3 linked regions of the Macaca mulatta genome follow. The protein of the gene in region 3 purifies or fractionates together with the protein of the main gene of each other region. This does not show direct contact. Links are inferred from orthologs where the notes say so. Each region holds a gene or a part of one and is shown on either strand. Other genes may lie near its edges.

The links.
Region 1: the proteins of DDB2 (region 3) and COPS7A purify together in Homo sapiens (affinity purification with mass spectrometry; 5 studies listed by BioGRID and IntAct, counting the BioPlex papers as one, with this or other methods). This does not show direct contact. The link is inferred for Macaca mulatta from reciprocal best matches to the Homo sapiens genes DDB2 and COPS7A.
Region 2: the proteins of DDB2 (region 3) and COPS5 purify together in Homo sapiens (affinity purification with mass spectrometry; 10 studies listed by BioGRID and IntAct, counting the BioPlex papers as one, with this or other methods). This does not show direct contact. The link is inferred for Macaca mulatta from reciprocal best matches to the Homo sapiens genes DDB2 and COPS5.

What each region holds. Positions count from the first base shown.
Region 1 is NC_133416.1:7,678,754-7,682,895, forward strand, and holds the start of COPS7A (COP9 signalosome complex subunit 7a), read left to right. Parts: upstream 1-1,312; 5' UTR 1,313-1,433; exon of another isoform or gene 1,434-1,531; intron 1,532-1,893; 5' UTR 1,894-1,936; coding exon 1,937-2,098; intron 2,099-4,142.
Region 2 is NC_133413.1:77,749,719-77,753,367, forward strand, and holds part of COPS5 (COP9 signalosome complex subunit 5), read right to left. Parts: coding exon 3,590-3,649; intron 2,454-3,589; coding exon 2,325-2,453; intron 1,686-2,324; coding exon 1,620-1,685; intron 902-1,619; coding exon 816-901; intron 1-815. UniProt on the Homo sapiens protein: Probable protease subunit of the COP9 signalosome complex (CSN), a complex involved in various cellular and developmental processes.
Region 3 is NC_133419.1:18,365,641-18,369,289, forward strand, and holds part of DDB2 (DNA damage-binding protein 2), read right to left. Parts: intron 1,807-3,649; coding exon 1,661-1,806; intron 81-1,660; coding exon 1-80.

The sequences.
Region 1 (4,142 bases), on a different chromosome or scaffold from region 3:
AAAAAAATAAAAAAGAAAAGATAAGCTTGGGCGGGGAGGGGTGGATGCAAAAAAAAAATAAGTTTGGACTCATTAATTCCTTGGTTCCTTCAAAGTTTTAATATTTTATTATGCCTTTGATTCCTTCTCACTTTTGTTTCACCTTTTCCATTCATTTCTTCTTCTCCTCTTCCTCCTTTCCCTTTCCTTTCTGTGTTTCTGCTTATTTTCTATTACAAACCAAAATATGTGGACCATAAACTGCATCTGCAGTTCCTTTAGCCCTAACAGACTACGAGTTCTATTTCTCTTTATCTTTCTCTTTTTCACTTTCTTGTCTTTCCATTACTTATAAGTTTCTTAATTTTCCTGAGTCTCAGTTTTTCCATCTGGAAAGTGGAGATAACAATTACTAGATTGTTGTATCAGATGAATTAAGTAATGCTCGTAGCTTAACACAAAGGCCAAGATGTCATTAACTTTACCCTCACTTGACCTTCTGCAAGCCTGCTGTGAAATATAAAACACTATATAAATGTTAGTTGTTTTTGTTTTTATTAAAGTATGTTGAAGTAGAAAGATGGTTTTGAGTTTGAAAAGCTCCAGATAAATCCTTGGATTTTTATGAGTCTCAATTTCCTTTTCTGTAAAATGAGTAACATAGGGGTTTTTCCGCCCCAAGAAACTAAGAGTCCATGTACTGAAAGCATCATTCTACAAGTATTAATACATATATAGTAATCATGGTAGAGGGTGTCCTGAAGTCACACTGGGAATATTTGTGAGGATTCAACGGAATAAAATTTTAAAAGATGTCTGACCAATAGTAAGCACTCAATACATGTTAGCAATTATTATCTTTTACTCTTCTCACTTCTTTTCTCCTGCTCTTCAAAAAAGTGAGTGGTTGAACGACCTAGGTGATCTCTGCTGCTAAACTTCTATTATTGATTATTGTTTACTTCCTCTCTGCCCCTTACTCCCCCATCCCGTTTTTTTCCCGCTTCTTCACTCATTCCATTACAGCTTTTCTCTTGCCTCAGGCACCCAGGGCAGTCCTGATCTCCAGCTCTCCAGCGGCTTAGAACAAACACAGAGTCGGCCGAGACCAGGGGACCCGCCAAAGACGTCTGTGTTTAGTGGCTAGCGCTCTTCCACTAATAAAGTTTTATTGAAATACAGTATTTAAAAAGGCGCCCGTCATTCTTCCCCCGGCGACCAATCGGAGAGTAGAATGCTTGCGTCCCTCACTGGAGCTTCAGCGGTTGGAACGCGGGGGCGGGGCATGTCCTGCCGAAATTTGCGTCCTTAGAGCGGAAGTACGGCCGGAAGCCCGCCATAGAGTTTAGTGGCCAGAGCGACTCTTCAGGGAGGTGGCAGGAAAGGCTTGGAACAGCTGCCGGAGGTGACGGAGCGGCGGCCCCGCCCGGTGCGCTGGAGGGCGAAGCTTCCAGGTAGCGGCCCGCAGAGCCTGACCCAGGGTACGACGAAGCAGTCGGCGGGAGCCCACGGTCGCTGGGCGGTGTCTTTAAGGGAGGGGGCGGAGCCACGTGTAAGCTTCATTGGGGTGAGGTCACGTGGTTGTGGGCGCGTGCGGGGCAGGAGTGGAGAACTGAGGGAGCGTCGTCGTTAGTGTGGATACCATGCGACACCCCTTTCTCCGTTGCATCCTGTCTTAGGGTTCAGTGGCGGTGCACATGATGGGGCTTGGGGTTAGGCTCAGGGGAGGGGGTGGGTGTGGCAGCCTTGTGAAGTGGCTGACTAGGATTTGTAGATCAGAATTCTAGACCGCTCCATGTGTGATTCCTCACCGCAGAACCGACTTAGTACCTATACAATCCAGTCCTTCAGCCTTGTGCTTCCCATCCTACCAGCCATCGGGGATCTCTAGCTTCACATTCTCTTTCCTTGCAGCTCTGGACATCCTGAGCCCAGGTGCCCCCAGCTCAGTGCAGTCATGAGTGCGGAAGTGAAGGTGACAGGGCAGAACCAGGAGCAATTTCTGCTCCTAGCCAAGTCGGCCAAGGGGGCAGCGCTGGCCACACTCATCCATCAGGTGCTGGAGGCCCCTGGTGTCTACGTGTTTGGAGAACTGCTGGACATGCCCAATGTTAGAGAGGTGGGTTGCTGGCTTGAATAGTCCACAGAGAAGCATGGGCAAAGGTTTGAATTTGAGAATGGGTGGGCAGGGCTCAATTTGTGATCCCATACCATTCAGTTGAACAAGAAAACAGTGATGATTAAATGCCAACTTGCAAAAGTAACCAGTAAACAAGCAAACCAGCTTTCCTTTGGAGATAAAGGATCTGTAAAGTCCACTGTTTTTCATTTTAAGCAAAAGAGCATGTTATTCAGAATAGGAAATCTGATTTCCAGCCCGTCTCCACCAGCGTAATAGCTGTTAATTCTCATGTCACCTTGATCAGGTCACTTTTGTTTTAGGGCCTGAGCTCTCTTTTTTAAAAATGGAGACAATACTGCCCCCTCTGTTGTGGGAATAAAGTGAGATTATGGGAAAGTGTAAAGTCTGGTACAAGTGGGTAGTGAACATGTTAAATTAGCATGCCCTGTTCTTCCCTATGTGCAGCATATGCTAATCTGTTCAAGGTAGCTAAGGGAGAATGTGTCTTTTTCCCAAAGACACATGGCAAACACTAGGAACACAGCAGAGAGAACCATTCACACAAAAGTGGCAGAGTTAATTTACAGAGGAGGCAGCCTGAGTCCTGACATGCTGACAGTGATATGTGGGTAAACTGAGCTAAGTTATGTGGGGCCTGTGGTTTAACCTTTTGGATCACTCTGTGATATGGTGAAAACTGGCTGACTTTTCCCTGCTTTCATCTGCAGTGGAACTAAAGAGTATCCATCAAGGTGATGAAAAAGAAGCACTTGGCCTGGTGCAGTGGCTCACGCCTGTAATCCCAGCACTTTGGAAGGCCAAGGCAGGTGGATCACCTGAGGTCAGGAGGTGAAACCAATATGGCAGAACCCTGTCTCTATTAAAAATACAAACAGGGCTGGGTGCAGTGGCTCACGCCTGTAATCCCAGCACTTTGGGAGGCTGAGGCAGGCGGATCACAAGGTCAGGAGATCGAGACCATCCTGACGGTCTAACACGGTGAAACCCCATCTCTACTAAAAATACAAAAAATTAGCTGAGGCCGGGCGCAGTGGCTCAAGCCTGTAATCCCAGCACTTTGGGAGGCCGAGAGGGGCGGGTCACGAGGTCAGGAGATCGAGACCATCCTGGCTAACACGGTGAAACCCCGTCTCTACTAAAAAATACAAAAAACTAGCCGGGCGAGGTGGCCGGCGCCTGTAGTCCCAGCTACTCGGGAGGCTGAGGCAGGAGAATGGCGTAAACCCGGGAGGCGGAGCTTGCAGTGAGCTGAGATCCGCGCACTGCACTCCAGCCTGGGCGACAGAGCGAGACTCCGTCTCAAAAAAAAAAAAAAAGGCCGGGCGCGGTGGCTCAAACCTGTAATCCCAGCACTTTGGGAGGCCAAGACGGGCAGATCACGAGTTCAGGAGATCGAGACCATCCTAGCTAACACGGTGACACCCCGTCTCTACTAAAAATACAAAAAACTAGCCGGGCGAGGTGGCGGGCGCCTGTAGTCCCAGCTACTGGGGAGGCTGAGGCAGGAGAATGGCGTAAAAAAACCCGGGAGGCGGAGCTTGCAGTGAGCTGAGATCCGGGCACTGCACTCCAGCCTGGGCCACAGAGCTAGACTACGTCTCAAAAAAAAAAAAAAAAAAAATTAGCTGAGCATGGTGGCGGGCGCCTGTAGTTGTAGCTACTTGGGAGGCTAAGGCAGGAGGATGGCATGAACCCGGGAGGCGGAGGTTGCAGTGAGTTGAGATGGCGCCACTGCACTCCAGAGCAAGACTCTGTCCCAAAAAAAAAAAACCACAAAAAACAGGGCCGGGCTTGGTGGCTCATGCCTGTTCCCAGCACTTTGGGAGGCTGAGGTGGGTGGATCATGAGGTCAGGAGTTCAAGACCAGTCTGGCCAAGGTAGTGAAACCCTGTCTCTACTAAAAATACAAAAATTAGCTGGGCGTGGTGGCAGGCGCCTGTAATCCCAGCTACTTGGGAGGCCGAGGCAGGAGAATCACTTGAACCCGGGAGGCAGAGGTTGCAGTGAGCCGAGATTGCGC
Region 2 (3,649 bases), on a different chromosome or scaffold from region 3:
ACTAAAAATACAAAAATTAGCTGGGTGTGGTGGCATGCGCCTGTAATCCCAGCTACTTGGGATGTTGAGGCAAGAGAATTGCTTGGACCCAGGTGGTGGAGGTTGCAGTAAGCCAAGATCATGCTACTGCACTCCAGCATGGGCAACAGAGCAAGACTATGTCTTGTGGGTCGTGGGGGAAGGTATGTAATACAGTGGTTTTTAGTAAGAATTCTTATACTTTATAACTTTAACTTTTTAATATGGCTTCTTTAATCTTTCAAATCTTTCAAAGATTAGAAAGAATCTTTGTTCAGTAGAAATTATATATTTTGAGGGCTGCAGACATGCTAGTGTCAGCTGGCCCTGAACCCATCTTTATCTTGTCATAATTTTATATAGGCCAAGTATCTTGTACATTGAAAAAATGTTTAGGTTGTGTAAAAGGCAAATGACATGCTAGTTTGAAACATTAATAAAAAATGCAAAAAAAAAAAATTAAAAAATGCAAACATTCACCTAAATTCATATACTATTATTGTAAAAGCTATCATGAAATGTATTTTGTGCTTTTTTTCTCATCTGTAAAAAAGGGCCTTGGACTGGTTGATATCTATGGTTTCTTTCAGCCTCCTGAGTGCTGGGACTATAGGACTGTGCCACCTCATCTGGCTAACTTTTATAACATGTTTTGTAGAGATGGGGTCTCACTATGTTGCCCAGGCTAGTGTTGAATTCCTGTCCTCAAGCAATTCTCTCACTTTGGCTTCCCAAAGTGCTGGGATTATAGGTGTGAGTCACCATGCCTGGCCCAGATATCTTTTTAAATTACTTACTGTTTGCAGTGTACACCAAAATCTTCTATTTTATTAAGTGGGATAGTCTGGTACTCAGAAGGTCCTTCATCAGGAGGTTTGTAGCCCTAAACAAAAATGAGGCAAACAGAAGATTAAAAATATATATATATAAACGAGAAAAACATCATGTTTTCTATGCAGCTTTCTAATTACAGGATTATTAATTTTGGGAGGCAAATACTTAACATGAGCATTCTAATAATAAAAAAAAAAATACTGTTTCTACTTTCCCCCTACCCTGTTTGGTGGCTATAGGCTGGATTTTGCTTACAGATTTATTTTTCTTCTCCTTAGGTGATGTACTTTTGTTCTAATTAACTATTTTAGATTGCAGGCTCCTGCCAGGGAAGGAAACAGACCTATAGATTTAGCTCGTTTTTTCTCTAGTACCTGTCAGAATGCCACAGGCACACAGATGGTTATTAAAGACTGCTTTCCCAGTAAAATTAACAATATATAACATAAATGTATTACCCTTTGCTAGGGACAGCTTGTGGTAGTTTACTATTTTGTAAATATTATTAAATTGTTTTAACAAAAAGAGATATTGCTAATGTCTTTAATAATAAGTCAAATATTTGGAATTTAAAACATGTAAGGACTTATAATTTTAAAAATTACTAAGCATTCCTACAGTCCCATCTACTTGGGAGGCTGAGTTGGCTTGAGCCTAGGAGATGAAGGCTGTAGTACACTATGATCATGCCTGTGAATAGCCACTGTACTCCAGCCTAGGTAACACAGTGAGACTCTATCTATCTCTTAAAAAAAAAAAAAAGTTACCTTTGGGTATGTCCTAAAGGCGCCAAGATTCACTTTCCCTGCAGATATTGTTCTTGTTGGATCAATCTATAAGAAAGATATATTTAATATTTACTGATATAAAACTGTATGCCTTTTATTGAAACATTATTAACCTAGAAATGTATACATACATATAACACTATATACATACACAATAACCAAATAAGAATAAACAAACCAAAAAACCAAAGAAGTTCAGTAAGAGGGTAATATAAGTGTCTCACAGCTAACTTAGAGATTAGAATTATTATAATATTTAAGAATATCATTTGAAGGTTTGCTCATCTCTTTTTAAAGTTTTCTTTTTTCCTTTTAAGAGATGAATAATTCCTACCTTCCTCATAAAACTGGATTGCACTTAAAACACCCTGAACATAATAAGAGCTGCTCTAGCAATTCCTGCTTATCTCAGATCAGTCAACACTGATTGAATGCCTATGATGAGCTGGCACTGAGACATAGATGCTATGACTATCCACATTTTATAGAGGGGGGAAGTGAGATACACAGTGGTTAAAAACACTTGCTCAAAGTCTCAGCTTCTAGGAGATGGAATTCACATTGAAACCTAGGCAGACTGACACCAGAGCAATTTCTCTTTACTACACTGTTATTATTTCTCATTATACTTGCTTCAGCAAATCTTCATAAAGAACTTAATTAAACTAGTTTTAAAATTCTTACCACCACTGCTACAAATGGTTCCTGGAACTGCTGATTGAGCATCTGAGTACTAACATCAATCCCAGAAAGCCAGCAGCCATAGCCAGGATGGCTATGATACCACCCGATTGCATTTTCAAGGCGGCCAACCTAACAAATGAAGGGGCAAAAAAGTTTAAGATTACTCTTTAATTAATTTATAAGGTACCAGTACAATAAAGGTAACCAGTCTCCTTCCCATCTCTTTCTCCTCAATTACCCAGTTTTATCAGCCCAGATGTGAAATCTATAGGCAATTGCTTACCCTTAGAGATATTCTTTGTATACAGAATACATATTCTTTGCATATATATAGATTGATAAAAACACACACAGTAGCATACCACGTAACAATAATAATGTTTTACACTTTGCTTTTTCACTCAATAAACTGCTTTGGAGTTTGCTTCACATAAGTCATCAATATACATGACGGTTACCTTTTTTTCTTTTTTTCTTTTAAAGGCTGCCTGGCAGTCCACTGATGGAATATACCATAATTTATTTAGCCAGTTTTATACTCAGTAACTGAGTTAGATTGTTTCCAAATTTTTTATTTTAAACACATATCTGGTAATAAGTGTGAGAGTTTATTTAAAAAAAAATAAAATCCATGCCATAGACCGGGTGCAGTGGCTCATGCCTATAATCCCAGCACTTTGGGAGGCTGAGGTGGGTGGATCACTTGAGGACAGGAGTGGCCAACACTCCTGTCCTGGCCAACACAGAGAAAACCTGTCTCTACTAAAAATACAAAAATTATGGAAGGGCATGGTGGCTCATGTCTGTAATCCCAGCACTTTGGTAGGCCAAGGTGGGCAGATCACTTGAAGTCAGGAGTTTGAGACCAGTCAGGCCAACACGGCAAAACCCATCTCTACTAAAAATACAAAAATTATCCAGGCCTACTGGTGCACGCCTGTAGTCCCAGCTACTCAGGAGGCTGAGGAGGGAGAATTGCTTGAGCCCAGGAGGTGGAGGTTGCAGTGAGCCAAGATCACGCCACTGCACTCTAGCCTGGGCAACAGAGCGAGTCCCTGTCTTGAAAAAAAAAAACACAAAAAACAAAAACAAAAAACCATGCTATAAATCTTATCAGGCTTTTAATCTCGTACATTTTACATATAAATCATTAAAATTTAAATATAACATTTCCTATAAAGGGGATAATTTTAAGTCTAGAAACTCAAAAGTCACCTTGAGACTCTAACTTGCACTTACTAAACTATAAGAAACAACATTTTTACCTGTTTGGCATTTTCTATGTATGCAGCCATGTATTCATATGCAGCAGCCTGAGCATTTAC
Region 3 (3,649 bases):
GCAGGATCACGTTCCCCACGTTGTCTCCTGTGACCACCATTCGGCTACTGGCGGACACATCCAGGCTACAAAACCAGATGCTGGAGGGAAAGACTGTGTTGTAAGATTCTTGGGGACAGAGATAGGCCTGTTTACTCACTGTTGCTGCTCCAGTGACTAACCCACAGTGGGCATTCAATAAATATTTGTTGAATGAATGAATAACTGTCTTGCTGTGGATTCCTAGCGAGGAACATTCAGACTGCTCTACCGTCCAGACAGAGGGAATGGGGTAATGGGGCTCAGAAATCTGTCCGGTTACTGCTGGGCCCAGGATCCCCAGCTCCTAAGAGTCTCTGAAGCAGACAAAGCTCAAACCATAAAGCAAGCCTCAGGGCACGCCCGCCCCCACACCCCGGGTTCTAAGCAATCCTCCTTTACTGCTCTCTCCTTTCACTCTCCACCCTTTGGGCCAAAGGAGACACAAGCCAAACAGGGATTGCCTTGCTCTGTTCCTCAGAGCTGGCTGGAAAGGCACTTCTGCCCCCTTCTGAACACTGAGGGAAAAACACACAACCAGGAGCTCTTCTGGTCCCTCAAACCACTGGACTGGGAGGCTGACTAGGGGTGCTTCAGGGATCCTGCTATCCAGCCAGAGGAGCTCAGCTCAGTTTTTCTCTCAAACCCTCAAATCCATGCTACACTGACTTTTGCCATCCCTTATGAATATCTTCAAGCAAGAAGATTTCTTGCGGAAAACGAGCCTGGAGCCTCGTCTATCCAATCACCTGCTGAATTGCGCATGCACTCCTCATCCCTGCAGGACAGCCCAGGATCCCATCCAATGCTAGTTACACCCCAGCACCCTCACTTAATTCCTCAGGGAGCAGTCAGAGTCCCGGCTCTAGCTGGAAATCAAAGTGACGAGTATTTTGTAATTTTTTTTTTTTTTTTTTTGGAGATGGAATTTCACTCTTGTTGCCCAGGCTGGAGTGCAGTGGCGCAATCTCGGCTCACTGCAACCTCTGCCTCCTGGGTTCAAGCTACTCTCTTGCTTCAGCCTCCCAAGTAGCTGGGAATTACAGGCACCTACCACCACATCCGGCTCATTTTTTGTATTGTTAGTAGAGATGGGGTTTCACCATGTTGGCCAGGCTGGTCTTGAACTCCTGACCTCAGGTGATCCACCCACCAGGCATGAGCCACTGCACCCAGCTGCATTCTGTAATTTCTCCAGCCACTTTCTCTTGGGAAGTTCAGAGCACTTTATGGACAAGATTCCATCCATGTAAGCTTGCACCCAGGAACGGCTCAGGTCATTACACCACAGCGAGTGCAGGGAATTCAGTCTCAAGTTCTTAGCTGCTGCTCCATTCTCTAGGTGGCTTTCTGGGCCTATGCCATGCTGGCTTATCTAGTGAAGGTCCAGGTCTAGTCTAATACAGGTATGACTTACAGAAGAGCTGAGGCTCCAGAACACCTTCCCAAAGCAGTAACCCACCTGGACCAAAGTGAGGGTGGCCAAGGAACAGTTTGAGAAAGAGAAAGAAGGGCGGAAGGTGGCTGACATCTTTCCTTTCTTCCCTGTGCCAGGTTGGGTTGAGGAAATGGGATCTGGATGCTCTTGCCGGAACTACACCTAAGCTTAGAAGCCCTTTCCCCACCTAGTTAAACTACTCACTTGATGGTGTCTGAGCTGGCAAAAACTCGTAGAATGTTGCCTTTAAAGTCTTGCAGCCTAGTTGTTCCCTCCATTGAGGAGGCGTAAAACTGGTTGGTATTGAGAGGGTTAAACTTCAGCCCAGTGATGCTCCCTCCAGCTCCAATCTAACATGAGGAAGGAAAAAGCCAGTGAGTGATGATGGGCCTGGCAGTGAGGAACCAGGCCTGGGCACGCGTGCTGCGCTGTCACGGAAGCACCAACGAGCAGTGCGTGGGGCCAGGTCAGCTCGGACACCTAAACACTAGGACGCTCTCCACAGAGCCTTCACTTCTTTTTCTTTTCCCTTGAAATAGGGTCTTTCTCTGTCACTTAGGCTGAAGTGCAGTGGCACGAACACGGCTCACTGCAGCCTCAATCTCCCAGGCTCAAACGATCCTCCTACCTCAGCCTCCCAAGTAGCTGGGACTACAGGTGCACACACCATGCCCAGTTCATTTTTGTATTTTTTTTTTTTTTTTTAAAGATGGGGTTTTGTCATGTTGCCCAGGCTGGTCTTGAACTCTTGAGTTCAAGCGATCTGCCCACCTCGGCCTCCCTAAGTGCTGGCATTACAAGTGCTAATTTTTAAAAAATTGTTGGTAGAGACAGGGTCTCATTGTGGTGCCCAGGCTGGTCTCGAACTCCTGAGCTCAAGTGATCCTCCTACCGTGGCTTCTCAAAGTGCTAAGATTATAGGCATGAGCCACTTTGCCTGGCCCCTTCTTTTCTTTTTCTTCCTTTCTTTCTTTCTCTTTCTTCCTCCCTCCCTCCCTCCCTTTCCTTTTTTTTGTTTTTTTTTTTTTTTGAGATGGAGTCCCACTCTGTCACCCAGGCTGGAGTGCAATGGCGTGATCCCAGCTCATTGCAACCTCTGCCTTCCAGGTTCAAGCGATTCTCCTGCCTCAGCCTCCCAAGCAGCTGGGATTACAGGTGCCCACCACCACGCATGGCTAAATTTTGTATTTTTAGAAGAGACAGGGTTTCACCATGTTGGCCAGGCTGGTCTTGAACTCCTGACCTCAGGTGATCCGCCAGCCTCAGCCTCCCAAAGTGCTGGGATTATAGGCGTGAGCCACTAAGTCTGGCCTCCCTTCATTTCTTAAGGCTTTATTTTTACTTTCTTTTTTTTAATTAACATATAGCAAATTTGGGGTATACAGTTCTCTGAATTTTAACATATGTATAGATTTAAATAACCACCACCCAAATCAAAATGCAGAACATTTGCAACAGCCCAAAAACTCCATTGTGCTATCCCATTGCAATCACACCCTCCCCTCGCCCCCAGCCCCTGGCTGATCTGTTCTCCATCACTATTGTTTTGCCCTCATAGAATGTCCAATAGACCAGGCACAGTAATCCCACCACCTGGGAGACTGAGGCGGGGGGACTGCTTGAGGCCAGGAGTTCAAGACCAGCCTGAGCAATATAGGGAGAACCCCCATCTCTACAAAAAAAAAAAAATATATATATATATATATACACACACACACACACACACACACATATATATATATATAGACATGGTGGTAGGTGCCTGTGGTTCTAGCTCCTCAGAAGGCTGAGGTGGGAGGATGACGGAACCCTGAAGGTCGAGGCTGCAGTGAGTTGTGATCGCATCACTGCACTCTAGCGTGGGTGACAGAGCAAGATCCTGTCTCTAAAAATAAAATTAAATTAAAAATAGAATTAAAAATAGAATGTCATGTAAATGAATTAGGCAGTATGCAACCTTTTGAGACTGTCTTGTTTCATGTCACTCATCATGCCTCTGAGATTCATCTGAGTTTGCTTTATCAACAAGCTCATCTCATTTTATTGCTGAGGTATTATTCCATTTTATGGATGTGCCCTAATTTGCTATTCCCACAGTCCTCTCTTTAGAAGAGCTTCAGCTCAGAGCAGTGGCGGAGTTAGGAGGGCAAGAGTCAGATCTGTGCCCCTTCCTATTCTTCCAGTCATCCCAGA